5 linked regions of the Xenopus tropicalis genome follow. The protein of the gene in region 3 interacts with the protein of the main gene of each other region in a pairwise test. Links are inferred from orthologs where the notes say so. Each region holds a gene or a part of one and is shown on either strand. Other genes may lie near its edges. The genes, in order: ikbkg, lamtor5, eef1a1, hspe1 and gadd45g.

What was found.
Region 1: the proteins of eef1a1 (region 3) and ikbkg interact in a two-hybrid assay, tested with the Homo sapiens proteins (2 studies listed by BioGRID and IntAct, with this or other methods). The link is inferred for Xenopus tropicalis from reciprocal best matches to the Homo sapiens genes EEF1A1 and IKBKG.
Region 2: the proteins of eef1a1 (region 3) and lamtor5 interact in a two-hybrid assay, tested with the Homo sapiens proteins (2 studies listed by BioGRID and IntAct). The link is inferred for Xenopus tropicalis from reciprocal best matches to the Homo sapiens genes EEF1A1 and LAMTOR5.
Region 4: the proteins of eef1a1 (region 3) and hspe1 interact in a two-hybrid assay, tested with the Homo sapiens proteins (2 studies listed by BioGRID and IntAct, with this or other methods). The link is inferred for Xenopus tropicalis from reciprocal best matches to the Homo sapiens genes EEF1A1 and HSPE1.
Region 5: the proteins of eef1a1 (region 3) and gadd45g interact in a two-hybrid assay, tested with the Homo sapiens proteins (2 studies listed by BioGRID and IntAct). The link is inferred for Xenopus tropicalis from reciprocal best matches to the Homo sapiens genes EEF1A1 and GADD45G.

The regions. Positions count from the first base shown.
Region 1 is NC_030684.2:25,692,637-25,696,149, reverse strand, and holds part of ikbkg (NF-kappa-B essential modulator), read right to left. Parts: intron 2,641-3,513; coding exon 2,527-2,640; intron 2,285-2,526; coding exon 2,223-2,284; intron 2,142-2,222; coding exon 2,088-2,141; intron 1,596-2,087; coding exon 1,472-1,595; intron 891-1,471; coding exon 772-890; intron 171-771; coding exon 30-170; intron 1-29. UniProt on the Homo sapiens protein: Regulatory subunit of the IKK core complex which phosphorylates inhibitors of NF-kappa-B thus leading to the dissociation of the inhibitor/NF-kappa-B complex and ultimately the degradation of the inhibitor.
Region 2 is NC_030678.2:72,306,211-72,310,212, reverse strand, and holds the start of lamtor5 (ragulator complex protein LAMTOR5), read left to right. Parts: upstream 1-1,195; 5' UTR 1,196-1,287; coding exon 1,288-1,322; intron 1,323-1,674; exon of another isoform or gene 1,675-1,842; intron 1,843-1,872; exon of another isoform or gene 1,873-1,913; coding exon of another isoform or gene 1,914-1,945; intron 1,946-3,355; coding exon 3,356-3,417; intron 3,418-4,002. UniProt on the Homo sapiens protein: As part of the Ragulator complex it is involved in amino acid sensing and activation of mTORC1, a signaling complex promoting cell growth in response to growth factors, energy levels, and amino acids.
Region 3 is NC_030681.2:91,801,415-91,805,388, forward strand, and holds the start of eef1a1 (elongation factor 1-alpha 1), read left to right. Parts: upstream 1-1,164; 5' UTR 1,165-1,194; coding exon 1,195-1,338; intron 1,339-1,610; coding exon 1,611-1,790; intron 1,791-1,893; coding exon 1,894-2,190; intron 2,191-2,287; coding exon 2,288-2,438; intron 2,439-2,888; coding exon 2,889-3,145; intron 3,146-3,262; coding exon 3,263-3,497; intron 3,498-3,586; coding exon 3,587-3,711; 3' UTR 3,712-3,974. UniProt on the Homo sapiens protein: Translation elongation factor that catalyzes the GTP-dependent binding of aminoacyl-tRNA (aa-tRNA) to the A-site of ribosomes during the elongation phase of protein synthesis.
Region 4 is NC_030685.2:46,535,969-46,540,057, forward strand, and holds the start of hspe1 (10 kDa heat shock protein, mitochondrial), read left to right. Parts: upstream 1-1,285; 5' UTR 1,286-1,345; coding exon 1,346-1,348; intron 1,349-1,425; exon of another isoform or gene 1,426-1,480; coding exon of another isoform or gene 1,481-1,498; intron 1,499-4,089. UniProt on the Homo sapiens protein: Co-chaperonin implicated in mitochondrial protein import and macromolecular assembly. Together with Hsp60, facilitates the correct folding of imported proteins.
Region 5 is NC_030677.2:138,047,710-138,051,606, reverse strand, and holds gadd45g (growth arrest and DNA damage-inducible protein GADD45 gamma), read right to left. Parts: upstream 2,425-3,897; 5' UTR 2,315-2,424; coding exon 2,262-2,314; intron 1,849-2,261; coding exon 1,747-1,848; intron 1,608-1,746; coding exon 1,394-1,607; intron 1,277-1,393; coding exon 1,166-1,276; 3' UTR 510-1,165; downstream 1-509. UniProt on the Homo sapiens protein: Involved in the regulation of growth and apoptosis. Mediates activation of stress-responsive MTK1/MEKK4 MAPKKK.

The sequences.
Region 1 (3,513 bases), on a different chromosome or scaffold from region 3:
AAGCAATAGCTAACAATCCTGACTCTTACTTCTCGTCTGTGGCATTTTGTCTTTCCATTTTTAACGCTGTTTCCAAATTCTGTACTTGCATCATTCGCTGATCAAGCTGCACAACCTGTTGCTTCACTTGGGCTTCCCAGCCCTTTTTCTCCTCCAGGGCACTACGGAGGCTGCAAAGAGAAATCAAACACTTGGCACACACAAGCTGTTTCCAAGAGTATAGACCAATCACATCTCCTATGGAGCAAACCATTCTCACATTATGCACCAGGGTAACCTGCACAGCACTGCTAAATTTAAAGGGACAGTGACACCTTTTTCTGGTTACAGTGCCTTCTCAGCATGAGACAGAAATGGCACCATAGAGAGGGCCAACCAAGAGGCATGAATGGTCAGTGCCACAGGGTTGAATCAAGTCCGGCTCAAGTACGCATGAGCAACAGTTTAACGGATAAGTAAACCTTTTAAATAAGTTGATGTAAATTTGATGAGAATGCTATTCTAAGCACTAAAACTACTTCATGTTTGGAAAGTGACCAGCAGGTGGTGCTGTTTAAAAACTGCATTCATATTAACAGTACTTTTAACCCTCAATATATTGGGAAAAAAATAACATGTAAATTACAAAATTCATCTCATCATTTTTACATCAACTAATTTTAAAAGTTTTACTTATACTTTCAAAAGACATTGCCCTAGATTTTTTGACCCATCCTCTTCTCCTGGGTGACCAACGCAGGCATCCATCACTGTTTCCCATGGGGTACTAACCTGTCCTCTACCTTTCTCTTTTCCTGCAGGCAGATCTCCAGACTTGTCTGACTCTCTTTCAGCTCCCCCAATAGAGAGGTCACCTGGGCTTTTACTGAATTCCTCTCCTCAGACAGTTGCTGCAAGATCAAAACCAAGATATTGTTAATTCTGCTTAATATGACATTTACCTATAACATAATTATATCAATCCTAATACTGTATATAGAGCAGAGGATCTGATACTGATGTTTATGAGGCTGGGGGGCAAAAAATACCTTGGAAACTTGCAGCTGGCCCATGGAATGCCAGCTGGACAACCATATATAAAAACAAATTATTTTTTTTCATCATTCTGGCTGCAGATCATGTCCCTAAACCAGTGTTTCTTATTCTTTTTCTCAGGGGACCCAAATTAGGTTCAAACAAAAATAAATTAATCATTTACAGTTGTAATAGTTTCATCGTAACATCTTTGAAACAGTATAACCCATTATATTATTCTCACATGGTACCTGTACATATATCATGACTGTAATACCACCAGGCCCAGACTGGGGTTCAAAATAGGCCCTGGAATTTAAAGTACACAGAGACCCAAACAGCCCCCCCAGGCCCAATAAATAGTGAATGTCTATGGCATCTTACAGCAGCCCCTCTGGCATTTGCCTGAATCCACAGATTGCCTGTTTAGGCCTGAATAACACTGTAGAATTCTCACCTCCATCTGCAGTTGCAAACTTTGCAGTTGCTTTTGAGATTCCTCTCCTTTTTCAACCACCTGGCGCCTAAGCTTAGATACTTCCTCTTGTAGATCTGCAATCTGACGCAGAAACTGAGTATTCCTGCATTGGGAAGATATATTTACAGTGCAGCCTGTGAGCAAACCAGTGTACGATGTCCCTTATATTATACATGGAAAAAGGCGCTTGCGAGGGGATATGATTACTCTGTACAAGTACATTAGAGGGGATTACAGGCAGATAGGTAATGTTCTTTTTCCCATAAAAACCATCAGTGCACCAGAGGCACAGTAGGTGGTTTTTCATGCTGAGGGCAGTGAGGTTGGGGAATGCCCTTCCTACAGATGTGGTAATGGCAGATTCTGTTAATGCTTTTAAGAGGGGCCTGGATGAGTTCTTGGACAAGCATAGTACCCAAGGCTATTGTGATACTAATATCTACAGTTAGTATTTATGTTGGTATATATGGTTTATGTATGCGAGTATAAAGACAGGTCAGTATGGGTTTGTGTGTTGCTGGGTTTACTTAGAAGGGTTGAACTTGATGGACCCTGGTCTTTTTTCAACCCTATGTAACTACATGTAGCTACCCACCTGGCTTCAGCGTCCTGCAGTTTCTTCTGGAATTCCTGCTCAGTTCTAGAGTTCCTGGAATAAACACACAATTTATAAACTGCTTTGCCAGTTCATACACATAGCAACTTGTTACATTTTTTACGTCAGGCTCACCGGTCCACAGTTCCTTGCATGATTTCATTTTCCATACAAACTTCCTTGTTGCCATTTTCTTTCTGTAGAAAGTGAAAGAGAATAATGATAAACCATGGGACCAGGTCTCTGGAAAGTTGTTAAACAATGATGGGGCTCTTATAAAAAAAAAATGTGTTTTCATGATTTTAACTGCAGGACACCAATTAAATCAAAGTACAACAGGCCTCTACTTGTCAACCAATCAGGACCATCACCTTAATCCCTGTACTTGAACAAATGCAGGGCGGGAAAATAGAAGTGATCAGAGGTCTGTGTATCTCACCTGCTTGTTTCGGGATGGCCCCTCTTCATCTGGCACAGTCTGCCTGATTGTTTCACAGATACTGTGGGTCAGTGTTTCACATGAGGACAAAGAGCTCCCTGGGGTGGCGTAATCCTAACGACAGACACAGCGGAGCAGTCACACAGGGGCCAAGCCGAGGAGTCAGGCAGAGCAAACTTTCTAACTGGGCAGAGTATGTGATGAGCCTAGCTGTCTCGGATGGATCCAAATGCAAAGGGAGAAATCCTATAGATCGGGGTCCCCAACTTTTTTCACCAGTGAGCAACATTCTAATGTTACAAAAGCTGGAGAGCAACACATGCAAGCAAAAAGTTCCAGGGGTACCAAACATGGGTTGTGATTGTCTAGTGGTATCCCCTATGCAAACTGGCAGCCTACAGGAGGCTCTGTTTGGCGGTTTTGTTGCTTGTGAGCCACTGGTTGGGAAATCACTGCTATAGAAAGTAACAAGAGAATGCCCAATAGATAAAAAGGGTGTGGGGGGGGGGGGGGTGGTTGGTGCCTGATGACTAAAGTCTCTTCCTTTCTACCCCAGGCCAGTGCTCCACTTCTTAAAAAAAAAAAAAAAAAAAAAAAAAAACACACTAGCCCAGGGAACTTTCCATCAGAGTACTGTTATGCAATCTTCCTTCACTCTCCCAGTGCATTATGAGTCTAGCTGGCATGAGAATCTATGGGTCTAGCAGGACAAGGTAATGCAGCGGTGTAACTAGAAATTTCTGAGTATTTCTCTCTGTGGCAACTTTATGTTGCTAGGGAAACTTCTAACCCCCGGGCGGGGGCAGCTGTGCACATAGAAAAGGCCAACCCTATATTGCACCATAAAAGATTTTAATGTGCAACCCAGGCCATCGGCAGGGTAGCCAGGAAGTTACTGGCCAGTCTACTGCCTGCCTTCAGCGGCTGCTATACTGTAGCTTGATCCTCCTCCATACATTCTGCCACTTTAGCCCTAGATCGAAGCTT
Region 2 (4,002 bases), on a different chromosome or scaffold from region 3:
CCGATCCAACTGAATTTTTTAACCTGCCGATCTATATCTGGCAATTTTAGGCCAGCTATCAGTCGGGCAGGCAGTCGTTGCTGCCCCTACACGGGCCGATAAGCTGCCGAATCAGTCCAAGGGACCAATATCCGGCAGCTACAATCAGCCTGTGTATGGCCACCTTTAGTGTTCAAGAGAGAGATAAGCTTGTAGCAGCCTAGAGTATTGTAGTGTTTTACCCTATTACAGCGTGACTGCAATGTGAGCTTATGTAAAGAATGTAACTGTATCTGTGTTTTCCCATATGCTAGTATAGGATGGGTTTTCTCGTAAAATATTGAAAAATCTTGACACTAAGCCGTTTGGGCCCATACCCTTAACTGTGGGAGCATCCTGTTAGAATAAATGCATGCTACTCTATGCAAGGGCACCCTCTCCTGTTTTTTATTGAACAGTCTGGCAAAAACCACCATTTGTGCCGAGTGGCACAAGAATTGAAAGTGAATAGTGATCATTTTTATATGACCCGGACATAAGTCCAATAGCATAACTCTTAGTTTCTCATTCAAAAGACCACTTCTGTCAAGCTTCTGGTTGCACTCTGCACCCTAGGCCTAATAAACAATCCAGCATGAGGTGAGGAATAACATGCAAGTTAAGGATTGGGCAGGTAGTAGTAGGGGGAATTTACATCTGTCCTTGCCCCAGTAGAGCTTTCAGTTCTTACCACATTCACAAACTCTGTGGTTATGTTTATCAATAGCCACTTAACTTAACTAAGGTGAACAAACCCTTTAATATATATTTTAGAAATATTTTATTTCCTTTGATTGAAGCCCACCACATCCATTTGGGAGAAGAAACAACGTCATGTGCAGTAACAAATCTAGAGCTCCATGGAACTGGGTGTAAAATTCACTCTGGACATTAACCCACGTGACACCCAAAGTCAGTTAACCCTCTGTAAACACTAAATTGCAAAAGGAAGTCAAGAAACCAAAATGGACAAGAATCCTACTGTCAGGCCAGTAAAAACAGTAATCAAGAAACCTATTCTCAGAGTATGTTAGCTTTGTATGAAGCATTGTGCATTGTAGCGGAACCACCATTAAGCCAAAGCATATTAATAGTATTTTTCATTCATTGATTTTTCTTAATAGCGCCAGAGCTTCAAATACTGCAAACGAAAACTCCCATTAGCCCCACCTTCTGTCTAACAGTCAGCTGACCGGGAGGGTCACATGAGCAAACACCCGGAAGAGGAACTGCTTTAAGGTTTTTTTGACAGGAAGAAGAGACTCAGCTATGGAAGCGGCTCTGGAGCAGCATTTGGAAGATACGTGAGTGCTCTGTAAACACATACTAAGGAAAATAAAATTAATTGGTTTTTTTCAATTAGTAAAATCAGGACATTTAAAGCGAAAGAACAGAAATAATTCAAACAGACAGAAATGCACTTCAGAACTTGAATTTCGTAACGTGTCTTTAAGTTTGCTGGTAATAGTTCAGATTCTCTTATTTTTAATCATTCCTACATGCGTGATCTCACTCAGGAGAGGAAATCGTGGGGGGAGGAAGCGGTGAACACTGTCACTGTTCATTCGGAGACTGGGGCATCTGGGGGAGGGGGTATAAGCATAAGTGTGAGCTATTAGTTACACAAGGTAACGACCATGTTGTTGCTGTTAGGCGGGTAGGCAGTTGAAGAGGGGATGTAAATTCGGATGCACAGATTAATTGCAAGGAAGTTGTTGGAGGGGTTTACTCGAAAAGCAGAGGAGGCCTTGGAGTTTTTGTTAGGAGGAAGCAGTGCAATATCAGGCATGGAGGTTTGGGGAGTCATGAGTTAACTGCATGTAAATCCTTATTGGGGGTGAGAAGGCTCATGAAACTGTGTAGGTGAATTGGGTGGCAGAGGTGGCCATGCAGTTATGTGTAAGGAAATGGCACAAGTGGCTGGCAGGTAGGTTATGTGAGGAGGATGATGGAGTGGAGTTGTGTAGGTGGGCAAAGTGGCATAACTGAAAGGGATGGGGGCTGTGCATGTTTTGATGGAGTCAGGCATACTGGCTCTTGTGTGGAGCTGAAACGTCGGATTAATAAAAACCATGTAAGATATTGCTAAAAAACTTTTTTGGTGAATATTAACCAAAGTCCTGTGAGTGCTAACCTTTATTGCAATTGTGTGTATATATATATATATATATATATCTGTATTCATTGGTGCGTGCATAGGTGCTCATATATACATGCGTATGTGTGTATGAAAGTGCTTATATATGTGCACATATAGACACATATATAAGTAAATATTTAGGTGCACATGTGTATATATGTGCATCAATATGTGTGTAATTGTATGTGTATATGTGCAACAACACGTGTGTACATATAGGTCTGTAAATAAGTGTATATATAGATGTGTGTTTGTGTCCAAGCAGACACACAACCATGTGGCTTCCTTGTTTGACTCTACACCTGGAATTTTACTTAACAAATACATTCATGGTCTTGATCCTCTGCTAGTGAGTATTTTCTAGTGCATGATCTGTATAGAGGTGTTTAATAAACGGGTTGCACAGATCGATCTGCCCACAGTGCGATCACATATTATTGATTCCTTAACCAAGATTCAACTTTATTTAAACACTTGATTATATTTCTGACTATTTTACTCTAATATTCTGACTTTCACGGTACATCCCTGACATCTAGCTTCATAAAAAGTGTTACTCTTCTTAGACCTTGTGGTTATTCTCTTGTACTTTCTATTTTGTCCATTTAGTATTCTTTTTTTATTGCCTGTCTATATAATTTTTGTTATTATTTATTTTTGATATAATTTTGATCTCTGTCTGGTAACGTAGGATTACGTCATCTCCACTTTTTCCCACCACTGTGTGCTTTTTAGACACTGAGTTTGTTGTATTCACCACTTTGATAAAGGCTAGAGTGCTAGCCGAAATTTTAGTCTCCTATATAATAAAACAACAAGTCCTGCGAGTACTGACACTTCCTCCAGTATATTCAATAATTTTTGGACCTGAGTGAGTGAGTGCCGGCATCTATTTGGAAGTATATATATATTTCTGAGAAAAGTTGTGTTGTTTAATACTGACACAAGAAACATCAGAGACTGACTAATTGTCTAAACTTTGCAACATCATCTTTCTTTTCCCCTGACTATAAGGACAAAATGGCAGCTATGGCCACTCTATCACTTTTTAAATTTGTTTGGTTAATCTATAATAATCTATATCTATAATATCCTATGAACTAGTAGAGATGATATAGCTGAAATAGCTTTCAGATAGGTAACCAGTATTTGTTTGGTATCTTGACACAAGTGTTTTGCCGTTCCTTACTTTTTCAGAATGAAAAATCCATCAATTGTTGGAGTTCTGTGTACAGATTCACAGGGGCTAAGTCTGGGATGTGAGTACCCTTTTACATTGGTTTTGTGTATAATATTGAAAATTGATGTAAATTGCAAAAGTACTCTGAGGAACACTCTGAGTAAGGTTAACAAATTCATTTTTAGGCTTAATTCAAATAAACAGCTGTGGAAATCCTTCCCAGAAGAGTAGAGGCTATTATAGCAGCAAACGGAGGAACAGCTTTATATTAATTACGTTGCTCTGAGAATTACCTTTGACCATTTGGTGTAGCTGCTGAACTTCCAATATTTGTCTTATGTGAAGGCTCCCTCTCCCTTTTATGGAGATTGCTATCTGTTACTCTGCAGCCAAAGTAATCTGTGAAAGAGTCAGTAGAAACAAACAGACTCTTGCATGGGGGTACTGACCCCTTTGGTAAACCCTGTTAAGTAACACAATAGGTTTTTAATCCATTGGTCACCTGGGCTGAAGGCACCATGGCCTGCACACACACAACCATGCCCCTGATCCCCTCATCATGCTTCATTAGTCCAAAACCCTGCCTACTCCATGCAAGCCCCACCCTACTTGTGTTTTTAATTCTCTTGGGGCCCCTGACAGCAGCAGACAATATATGCCAAAA
Region 3 (3,974 bases):
GTGTGCTGTGTTCTGTTCCGTTGTTATTGTAGATAAATAGGTTTCCTCTGCCGTAGTTTATTTAACTTTTATGGAACCACGCGTGCATTTGTTACGGAGTTGCTTGGGGCCGTGGTCTCTTTCAGCTGTGTATTAGCGTATTTCTGGCAATTAGTGTTACCGTATTGTTACACTAGATATCTTGGCGGGAAGGGAACATGGGTGCTTAAAGTGGGCGCAAAATGAAGAACGGTGCCAAAGCAAGGCTTGCGGCCTAGTCCCAATCTGCGCTGCATCCTCTCCTATGTAAGCCATCCGCCTCCTCTCAATATATACTTGGCTTTAGGCGGATGTGGTTAATATTGCCGGTGCTGTATTATTCCAGACGGTAAATGCTTAAGGCTCGACAAGTGAACGTGGTTTGGGGAAGGAGCGAGAGAGCTGTGCGGATGGGTGGCGGCGCGCCTACATGGGATTCATTGTACGTAGTGCAGTTTAGACTGGTCAGGCGAACATAGTGTTTGTGGTGCCTGTAAGCGCTGAACTATAGCAGGACTGGGGCTATTGCCAGTGTCAGGGCCCGGCTGGCACAATGGCGCTAGTGCTGACGTGTATCACCCTCTCTCCCAGGCAGGCTCGGCGTGGCCGGTGTATCCGAGCCAGTGGGGGCGGCTTCACTCACTAAATGGCCGGCGTGCTACGGGTTACTGCTGGCCCTGCTTGAACGCGGGATAGCAGCTGCTTACTTATTGGGTTAAATGTTCTGTGTGGGCTCTGCTCTTTTCTATAGAAATGAAACGTATCTAAACCATTAGTCCTGTTTAGCGTTGCGTTCCCCCATCTGGTTGTTCCATAAAGATGGCGGCGGCTCTCAGCTGAAGGATTTTTTTTTCTCCACAAGATGGAGGCTGAGTCACAAGTGAGGAGACAAAAGAGCTGGGAGCGCTGCATGCAGGGCCTGACTCATACACCAGGGGGAGTACAGGCCTCGCTCTTGCCTTCTTCCTTTTATGTAATGAGGGATTTCAGGGTTTTTTTTCCAACTAGATATCTGTGCAAAGTTCTTGAATTGTGGGTGGGGCTGCTTGTGTCTCCAGCCCTTGGAACTGCTGAGTAATGCCTGCCATGGCTTGCTTTGATGTGACCTATATTTTTAGCTTTTTTTTTTTTTTTGATGTTTTTTAGTGTCCACCGCCAAACATCTAACAATCCACAATGGGAAAGGAAAAGACTCACATCAACATCGTCGTCATTGGACACGTAGATTCTGGAAAGTCCACAACAACTGGACATCTTATCTACAAATGTGGTGGTATCGACAAGAGAACCATCGAAAAGTTCGAGAAGGAAGCTGCTGAGGTAAATTTTGTTAACAATCGCACTTCTTGTGGTATTGCAGCAGTCTCACCCCCCCCCCCCCTTACTAAATATTTAGTCCTGCACATGTTTGTTTAGACAAGTCTTGCCTGTGCACTAATGTGTACTTGTATTTGGTTTGTATTAATAGCCACCTGCCTTGGGTGTTTGTGATAGTAGGGGGAGTATAAACATTGCAGTGTGTCAGGTCATTCTTGGCAGAAGCCTTGTAAGGGGTTTTTAATCATGTCATTGCTGAACTTTTCACCTAACAGATGGGCAAGGGCTCCTTCAAGTACGCCTGGGTCTTGGACAAACTGAAGGCCGAGCGTGAACGTGGTATCACCATTGACATCTCCCTGTGGAAATTTGAGACCAGCAAATATTATGTTACTATCATTGATGCTCCAGGACACAGAGACTTCATCAAGAACATGATCACTGGTACCTCTCAGGTAGGTTTTAAGTCCCAAGCAGCTTTGCTATTTATATCTAAAGTAGGTGAGGCAGGCTTGCTGTTAAGTGCACATGAGTAAAAATGTATGTTTTCTCTTGTAGGCTGACTGTGCTGTCCTGATTGTTGCTGCTGGTGTTGGTGAATTTGAAGCTGGTATCTCAAAGAACGGACAAACTCGTGAGCATGCCCTCCTTGCCTACACTCTGGGAGTAAAGCAACTGATCGTTGGTGTTAACAAAATGGATTCAACTGAACCCCCATACAGCCAGAAAAGATATGAGGAAATCGTTAAGGAAGTCAGCACATACATCAAGAAGATTGGTTACAACCCTGATACTGTTGCCTTTGTACCTATTTCTGGATGGAACGGTGACAACATGCTTGAGCCCAGCGCCAATGTAAGTACTGTGGCAGTTCACTTAAATGTCTACAGCCTGGCATACTCTCTGGTTAGTGTAACAGTATTTTGATGTATACAAATCTTGTTTTTTCTAGATGCCTTGGTTTAAGGGGTGGAAAATCTCACGTAAAGAGGGATCTGGCAGCGGAACTACCCTGCTGGAAGCTCTTGACTGCATTTTGCCACCAAGTCGCCCAACTGATAAGCCTCTGCGTCTGCCTCTGCAGGATGTCTACAAAATTGGCGGTAAGTAACACTTTTCCTATGTGTATGCTGGAATGTTGTTCGTGCTTTAGGTTTACTGGCCTACATGGTTTGTGGGGGAAACCAAGTTAAAAATCGTGCATCTGTTTAAAAAAACTTAGCAGCCTTTTTTTTTTTTTTTTTTTTTTGTACAGGTTAACTGCTTGTCTGAAATAATCCCTCCCCCCCCAACTGCAGTAACAAATTTGAAGTTCACCAGGCATGGATGTCCCTAGTTAACAGCTTTGATATATTACGTTACTGCTTTTTTAATGTCTAGTGAATAAAATATTGGCAGCAAAGAGCTCATAAATCTAATTTTAGCTTAGACACTCTAAACAAGTCTCCAGAAGGAAGACTAGTAATTGCCAACATGTACGTTTAGGCCTTGTTTTGGCAGTGCTGGGATTTAGTATGTTAAAGTATTCACACTAAAATGGCTGTTTCTTTCAGGTATTGGTACTGTACCAGTTGGTCGTGTGGAGACTGGTGTCCTTAAGCCAGGCATGGTGGTTACTTTTGCCCCTGTTAATGTAACAACTGAAGTTAAATCTGTTGAAATGCACCATGAAGCCCTTAGCGAGGCCATGCCCGGTGACAATGTTGGCTTTAACGTGAAAAACGTTTCTGTGAAGGACGTCCGTCGTGGCAACGTTGCTGGTGACAGCAAGAATGACCCACCAATGGAAGCTGGTACCTTTACAGCACAGGTATGCAAGATGGCTTATGGCTAAAGGAAGTGATATGGCTTTCCATAGCTGGCTATGGGGGCATTTAAATCGCTTTGCATAACTCTAAGATTGTTTTCTAAATGTCTGACTTAATAGGTTATCATCCTGAACCACCCAGGCCAGATTGGTGCTGGATATGCCCCTGTGTTGGATTGCCACACAGCTCACATTGCTTGCAAGTTTGCTGAGCTGAAGGAAAAGATTGATCGCCGTTCTGGTAAGAAACTGGAAGACAATCCCAAGTTCCTGAAGTCTGGTGATGCTGCCATTGTTGACATGATCCCAGGAAAGCCTATGTGCGTGGAGAGCTTCTCTGACTACCCCCCTCTTGGTAAGTCTTTTTCAAAATAACCTTTTTGCAGTCTTGTAAAATGCTACCCAGTAGGCCCTTAAGCTAATTATCCATTTATTTTTTTCAAGGTCGTTTTGCTGTCCGTGACATGAGGCAGACTGTTGCTGTAGGAGTCATCAAGGCGGTCGATAAGAAGGCTGCTGGAGCTGGCAAAGTCACAAAGTCTGCTCAGAAAGCACAGAAAGGCAAATGAATATTTCCAGCATCTCTCACCTCAGTCATAACCAGTGGTGGAGGATTGGTCTCAGAACTCTTTCTATCAATTGGCCATCAGAGTTTAATAGTCAAAGACTGGTTAATGATTACAATGCATCGCAAAAGCTTCAGAAGGAAAAAAATGCTCGTGGACACATTTGTTTGTGGCAGTTTTTAAGTTATTAGTGTTTTAAATCCAGTAATTTCTAAATGGAAGCAACTTGACCAAAATCTGTCACCAAATTGAGACCATTAAAAAAA
Region 4 (4,089 bases), on a different chromosome or scaffold from region 3:
TTTTCAGAATTAAAGAATGCCCTAAAAATGGGAGAGAAGTTCCCCTTAATTACTTTAAACTTGGGATGATGACATAACAAAGACCTGACATGCAGGTATCTGAAAGGGCATAATACACAAGGTCATAATATGAATGAACTTCACAGAACTACAACCAATTTTTTTTTTAGTACTGAATTGCAATACATAGTGGAGTATTGCAATACATATAAAAACAGTCAGAAAAGTGACACTCATAATTGCATATTACGCTGCTCACACTGGGGACCTAGTTTAACAAATGAATCTGCTTTGCTACACTAACAATGGTTAAACCACTCACGTATGTTGTATTATTTACTGTAGGCAGAATCTTATTCTACGGGAACAGACTGAATAATTGTATGTACCAACCCATGATTTAGATTTTAGAATAAGACTCGTCCTTTACAAATCACTGCAATACACGCGTTCGGCACCAATATAATTGCTTATAAACAAATATAAGCTTATAATAACATATAAACTTGTAATCTCATTTTTATTGCTGTATGTGAAATGTAAAAAAAAAATTCATATTGAAAACCAATTTAACTTGAGAATTCACAATGTTTCATTGCTCTAACGGCTAGCTGCAAGAAATGACAGTTAATTCTTGCAATTTACACTCAAAGCCCAATTGTGAAAGAAGAATGACACAAAAAGAAGCCGGTCCAGCAACTCACCTGAGCAGGCAAAGCGAAGAGCAACTTACTGTACAAGCACACACGTGTCTGCAGCCGAATGGAATTGTCAGACCTACAGCACAAGCTCTAAACCTCCTCTGGGAATGACGTGCCTCAGCCTTCCGGAAGCTTTAACTACCACGGGCTAAGCATGAACGAATAACACGGCTGAATAAAAGAACCCCCCTTGGCATTTATTACAACTGAACAAGTTGCTCCTCCTATTACGTATGAGCTTGCACAACGACCTAAGCATATGCCGATATACTAGTTCCTGGGCCGCCTTTCCAGAACGTTCTGGAATAGCTTCGCTTTCCAAGGTTCGAGGTGACATTGACAGATAACCCGGATGCAAAAAACTAAAGTTCAAAGCTCATCAGCCTTGGGCTGATGAGTTTTGAACTAGTCGTTAATATTCGTTTTAATACAAAGCGGACTATATAGTGTTGAAAAAATATACAACATATGGTTAGTGCAATTCTATTTTACACCTGATTGTGTGTTTTTACGCTCGTCCCTTAATTCTACTGCGCATGTGCAAAGCTTGCCTTCTATTCACGTGGTTGTAGGTCAAGTGTCCCAGTCTGCGCTAGGAGCTTGTAGAGTTGGTTGCTGCTTTGCACATCAAGTCTTGCTTAACTATGGTGAGTGCTGCGTTTAACCGTTAGGTATGCCTGACTATCGCATGATGTGCCAGTTTTTGTTATTTATATAGTTAATTCGTATATTTGCGTTGTTGCTGCTGTACATTCACCAGTAATATGTAAGGTAGAAGAATGATGTCCTGCGTACAAGTAAGTGGGGATTATAATTGAAATACATATTGTAAAAAGTTAAACTATGCAAGCTTGCATGATGTTTAAGACACGCTTTTTATTTTATTTTTCAAGTGTTATGGCTAAAATGAGCAGCACTATAAATTAAAGAATAGTCGCAAGTCATAGATTCAGTGTTCTGTGGATTTAGGGTTGATCAAGATTCTTTATAGATTGTGTTGCATGGGTTTTATGTAATAATTAGTTTTATAAGGTTTGTTAACTGTCCACTTTAGACGTCCTATTTACCTGCTTTTCTCTACATTTTTGTTTCATGCTTTTGGGATAGCTCATACACTGTTCATTGGATGAGGATCACACTTCAGCTTTTCTTTAAACTTACTGCACCTGGTCATGTACAACCTGCACATATAAAGAATGGGCAGCAATACAGTTTAGGGTTCTGCTGCTCAGAATAGTTGTCCAGATTAGGAAAGGCATTGTCTGTCAGTAGTTGACGCTCTGGCCTTTAAGGTTAGTACCACACTTGGTTGCATTTATACACAGGCAGAGTATCAGCTGATCCACTTGCTCCTGTGTATACACTGAAAGACACTGCTTCAGCCTGAGTGCAGTGGATTTTGGTGCAGGAATGGTAACTCATGCATTTTCAAGTAAAATTCCACCCCCATGTCTGCACCAAGGCTGATTCGGTGCCTTGTAGTGAACAGAGACCAGTCACAATTATATCCATTGGTGAAGGGAGATTGTGGTTTATACATAGTTGATGTCCATCAAGTTCAACCTTTTATGCCCATATAACCTGCCTAACTGCTGGTTGATCCAGAGGAAGGCAAATAATCTCTTCTGAAGCCTCTCCAATTTAGCACAGAGGGTGAAAAAATCTTACCTGACTCCAAGACTGCAATCGGATCAGTACCTTGATCAATTTGTACTATGAACTATCTTTCATGACCCTGTATTGCCACACTTGCTAAAAAGCCATCCAACCCTTTCCTGAAGCTATCTAATGTATTAGCCAGTTTGACTGATTCAGGGAGAGAATTCCACAACTTTACAGCTCTGAACAGGACCTCCTTTCTTTTAGTCTGAATGGGTGCACTCGTGTCTGCAGAAAGGGCATGGGCCTACTGGTAAATAAAGCATCTATCTATACCCCATTCAATACAGCTCAAAACCTTTTTGCCCTTGCAGCTGCTGCCTGGCATTGTTTGCTACAGCCAAGTTTATTATCTACATGGTCCTTCTCCATTATGGATTTGCCTAGTCCAGTCCCATTAAGGGTATAAGTGGCTTGTATATTTTTACATCCCAGGTGCATGACATTACAATTATTGACATTAAATCTCATCTGCCACATAGCCACCCGGGTTGCTAGTTTGTCACAATCCTTCTGCTAGGATGCCACATCCTGGATAGAATTCATTGGGCTACTGGGAGTTTTGTGTCAACTGAAAACACTGATACATTCCTTATAATACCCTCCCCTGAGTAATCAATAAACACATTAAATAAAAGTGGAACCAATACAGAACCCTCATATGATTTGATACAATAAAAATCCCCAGGTACTACAAATTAGAATGCAGTGTGGTCAACAAGGTCAGAAAAGCATATTACTACTTAACATGGTGACATAAAATCAAATAGGACAAATGTCCCCAATCAGACTAAGTAAATTAACAAACCATGGTGTAAAACAACAAAACTCATGGGGGGCAAATTCATTAAACCACAATTTTTTTGTGGTTAAAATCACGATATGCAAATAATTTGGAGTAACTACAGTAATTTCTGATGTTTGGAAATGTCACAAATTCAAATCAGTCGTAGGAAAATATTGTGGTTGCGTACTTGTATCCTTTTGAGATACAAGCGATCGATTCTGCAACTTTCTTTTCTCTTCCTTGATTGAGATTCCCTTTGAAGTTCAGTGTCCTTCTTGCGTATGATTTATTGGCAGCCCCTTCAATGCTTAACTGTTAGACAGGGGTCAAGGGTGTTTAACGCTCACACAGCTACATATTTGTTCTGGAATTGCTGTCCCTCAGGACCAGGTTAGTATGAAGGCCAGGGGCCTCTGAACTTCAAGGGGGATTGTAATCAAGGGAGAGAAAAGAAAGCTGCAGAAACAAACGCTTTTACATCCGAGCAAGTATCACATTTTTTAACAGACATATATTACAAAGTGTAGTGCTAAGAATCTATATGTGTATTTTAAAAAATGACTTTACATCCTCTTTAAAATTTCTCCGCAAAGTGAAAACATCCTGCATGAAACCAATAGTTTTCCACAGTTTAACACCAGCAAAACAGTGGTTGTTTTTAGAGTGACATCTTTAAGGTCATTTATAAACAAATGAGGGTCAAAGACCAAGGATAAACATTGTTCCAACTAGAAAATGTTCCATTTATCACTATTCTTTAACCATTTATATGCCACAGAATGTAGAATCTGCATTCTGTGGATAAAAGTATTTAAGTGCCACTGATCATAGATTCTACGTTCTACTACACTTGCAGATCTAGGAGAGGGTAGCAGGCTGCAAGATCTGTTTGGAGGAGGAGGAAGGTCAAAGGGATGAAGAGGAAGGGGCCCAAGGGCCTGC
Region 5 (3,897 bases), on a different chromosome or scaffold from region 3:
CAGCTGCTCTTTTCTGTCTGTGCAGTAACAAAAATCTATCTATGCAGCAGCCCCCTGTCACTCTAATGCACTCATTAGGCATGCAGCCCATAGACCTTGCACGCTCTTGTGATAAGCAGCTGTCGCTGAAGGAGCAGCAGGTCAAATGGTCAGGGCTCAATAGAAAGCATTAGCTGCCTGCTGCAGACTATGGATTATACCAAGCAACACAGCCCCCTTCTATGCAAATCTTATTGTGCACTGCTAACAAAAGGGATGACTACAGCACATTGGCAGCTTTCTGAATAGCCAATGTAGTGGGGTAAAACAGACTGCATTTCTACACATGCCCAAACAATAGGGGCCCAAACTGTGAACCAACAGCTATTACAAGACTATAGCTTTTTTTGTTTGGTTGTTTTGGGGGATGCTTATTATTTTGTTCATTTAGAAAATGTAGGTAGCTCAAGCGCTGGGCCGCAGGTATAAACACCCTACCAGATAAGCATAAAAACCAAAACAAATTAAAGTGAGATTTAAAATGATTTATTGAATGACAGAAAACAACATTTTAAATGCCAAGTTTCATCAAGAAAAGCACTTCAATTTGCAACAGTGTCAAAATGTTGAAAATACAGAAAGTCTTTTTTTTTTTTTACTATGTATTCTGGGTAGTAGACTGTAGTAGTAGACTGTAATAACCAATAACAAGCTGCAATGAACAGAATTCAGTCTCAGTTTGCAATCCAGAGCTATATAGTCCCAGACTCTTCCAATGTGTATATAAAGTTCATGTTTCATATCTCAGCAAACTCCAAAAGCAGATACAGAACAGGTTCTTTCCTTTAACCAGCTGCTTAATTTGCCTCATATCCATCTTAAAAGCTTCCATTTTTGCTTTTAGCACATGCAAAACTCCTCCAGCTCCATGGCATGACTGCCCCCCCCCCAGTGCTTTGGGAGGCTTCAAACTGGCACCAACCCTTCCTTTTACAGATCAGTCCATGTTAAGTTTTCCTCCTTACTCTTCTGCTCCACAAGAGCCAACATCTTTGCCAGTCTTGGCGACTTAATCTGACCTCAACCAGCGTAATCCACAGACTTCGGAATGCTGCTGGTCCATCCAGGTGCACAACACCATGATAATAATGCAGAGATTTTACAATCTAATGTAGAGAAAAGATGTTCACTCTGGCAGGGTGATACTGGGAACCCAGTCGTAGACTTTACGGCTTTCATCACAGAATATACCCAGTTTCTCCAGGGCTGGATCTTTCCAGGCATCCTCATTTGGATTCTGAGAAAAGAAGAGGAACAGAGACTATGAGAACACTGTGCTTACAAGAAATTGCACAAGTCACAGCCATGGGCACAAAGCCAAAACATTGCCGATAAGCAGGAACATGACACTTACCGTAATAAGGATGCAGTGCAGGTCCTTGGGCTCTGCAGACTCATCTGTTAAGCCTAGAATTTGAGCTACTTTTTCTGTGTCATTCAGCCTCACGATATTGATGTCATTTTCACAGCAGAAAGCTTGAATCAGAGTGAAGTGGATCTGAAGGGCTATATCACCCTCGTCGTACTCGTCTGCAGCCAAGATGCAGAAAGTGACACTATCTGGATCTCTGTAAAATCAAATTAAAAAAAAGAGAACATTAGTTCTGCTGCCAGCAAGCCTCAAGTGGGACTGTGTGTGGGCTGTGTTACATGCATGCATGAGTAAAGGGTGTGTGTGGGATCAGTGCAAAGGAGTGGGATACTTACACATTCATTACTTTGGCAGACTCATAGACTCCAACGGTCAGACACTCCTCTCTCTGGGCAGAGACCAATAGTTCATGCAGGGCTTTGCCAGCAGTTTGCATCCTACACAAGACAAATAAAAAGAAATGCATTTAGAGCCAGATCATAACTGAATATTTCTTTCCATATAACTGCAAGACTGGATGCTATGGCAGAAATCCCCACACTCCATAAAAGGAGCTTTAGCTAATGCCACCCACTCATGTTCCCCCATCTGCTAACTGCACATAGAGCTGCAGCTACTTCCCAATATGATCAATAATATTGCACTTTGGCTATATGCAACCAGTGAGTCCAAATCTCTGCACCCCTGGATCATAGCGCTTATTTCTGCGGTCATTTCTCCCTTACAAACGCTTTACTCTACTACGACCCTCCTGCAGAGCTGGGGTTGAACTACAAATCCCAGAATCCCGGATAGGCAGGCGGTAGATCCCTTAGAATAAAAGAAGGCGGAATTGGTATTCTGAAATTACCTGTCAGCGCTTTCAACAACGGTTTCTTGTCCGTGAACTTCTTCCAGAGTCATGATTTTCCGGGTAAGCCACAAAAATGTGAGTGCGAGAGACTTCTCAAATATCCACCAAAGGGTCCGGAAGAAGAAGAGTATAATATCCACAGTAGCTTCAGAGCAGTTAGAATCCCAAGCGAAGTGTGAGGAAACGGAGCGACTGAGCCGGTATTTATGCGCTGAGAGGCGTAGGCGGGGTCTGGTCTCACTCCTTTGCTCTGATTGGCCGGGCGGGGGAGGCATTGTAATGCTAATAGAGCAACAGAACGCGTGCCAGAAGGCCACGTGGGGGAGGAGACGAGGGGAAGGGGGGCAGTAGAAAGGAGGGGGGGGCAGTAGAAAGGAGGGGGGGGGCTCAGTAGAATGGCCGGCCGGTGGGCGCACTGGGTTTTTTTTTTTCTTTTACAATGACTCAAAGTCTGCCTGCTGCCCTTTGTCATGCTGTTGCCAGGCAGAATGGGGGTCTTATGATTTGGGCTTTGCACGAAATGGGAGAGAACATCAAAAAGATCCTTAAAACTTCAGATCTTTGCACTGTGTGTCACAAATGCACCAACGGCAACACATTGATTTGTTTCTGCTGTTCTGGGAACACTGACTATTTATTGGCTTGCTCATGAGCTGTGTGTGCAGGGGCAGCAAGCATCATCTGGGCACAGGGCTACAACTCATGGGCTCCATTAACCATGGCAGTGCTGGACAGGTGGGCCCTGTGGCAGGGTGCTCCATACAGGTGTGCTGGGCAGGGATATTATGCTCATTAGCAGGGAAGATCTGATAACCCTTACTTTAAGCAGACATCTGGCCTGCTGCTATTAATGCAATAAAGGCGATTTTAATGACCCTGCTAACGTGGGGGAAGGACGAGGCCCTGTATACAGATAATGGGGGCTGTGTTTGCGGCAGATTGCGAATGGCACACGCTGCTCGTTAGCATTTGTATAGAGGGGCTCACAATGGGGAGAGGGGCTGGCGTGTGGCAGTTTGCAGATCAGACAATCGCTCCCTTCTTCTCCTTACTAGGGACAGAGTCCACCTGCCGCTGGGGTGGGGTCCTGTAGAGGAAAGTGGGACACAAATGGATCTGACAATCTGTTCCACATCGCAGCAACCCCCCCAGCACGCTTCCAGGCTCTGATTGCTTTTTGGGGGATGCAAGGCTTACTTTAACCCTTTCTGCACGGTGCCTAATGCCTTTAGCCCTGTGCACAGCTTGCAGTATGCGCAGCTTCTTGTTAGTGAATTAGTCTTCTGTCCCCTTTAACTTCATAGGGGTCTCTGCAATGGTTATTGCTTTCTATACCCCACTGTTATCTCTGATCCTTACTGCACTTTCCTGGCTCCACACTAACCCCCTGTGCAAGTGGGGCAGGCAGGCAGTGTGTATCCTTACAGTACCATATTAATCTCGGGGGGCTGCATTGCAACATCGTTACTGAACTCATTCAGACACATGGAGAATGGGAGCAGACAGGACTAGACAGGGTGGAATGCACACGGCTGTAGCTGCAGTTCCAGACAGAGGAGCAGTCAGGAAAGGAAGCCAACTCTTGCACACTGGCACCCACTGCTACTTATGGCTTATTATATAAATCTGGGCC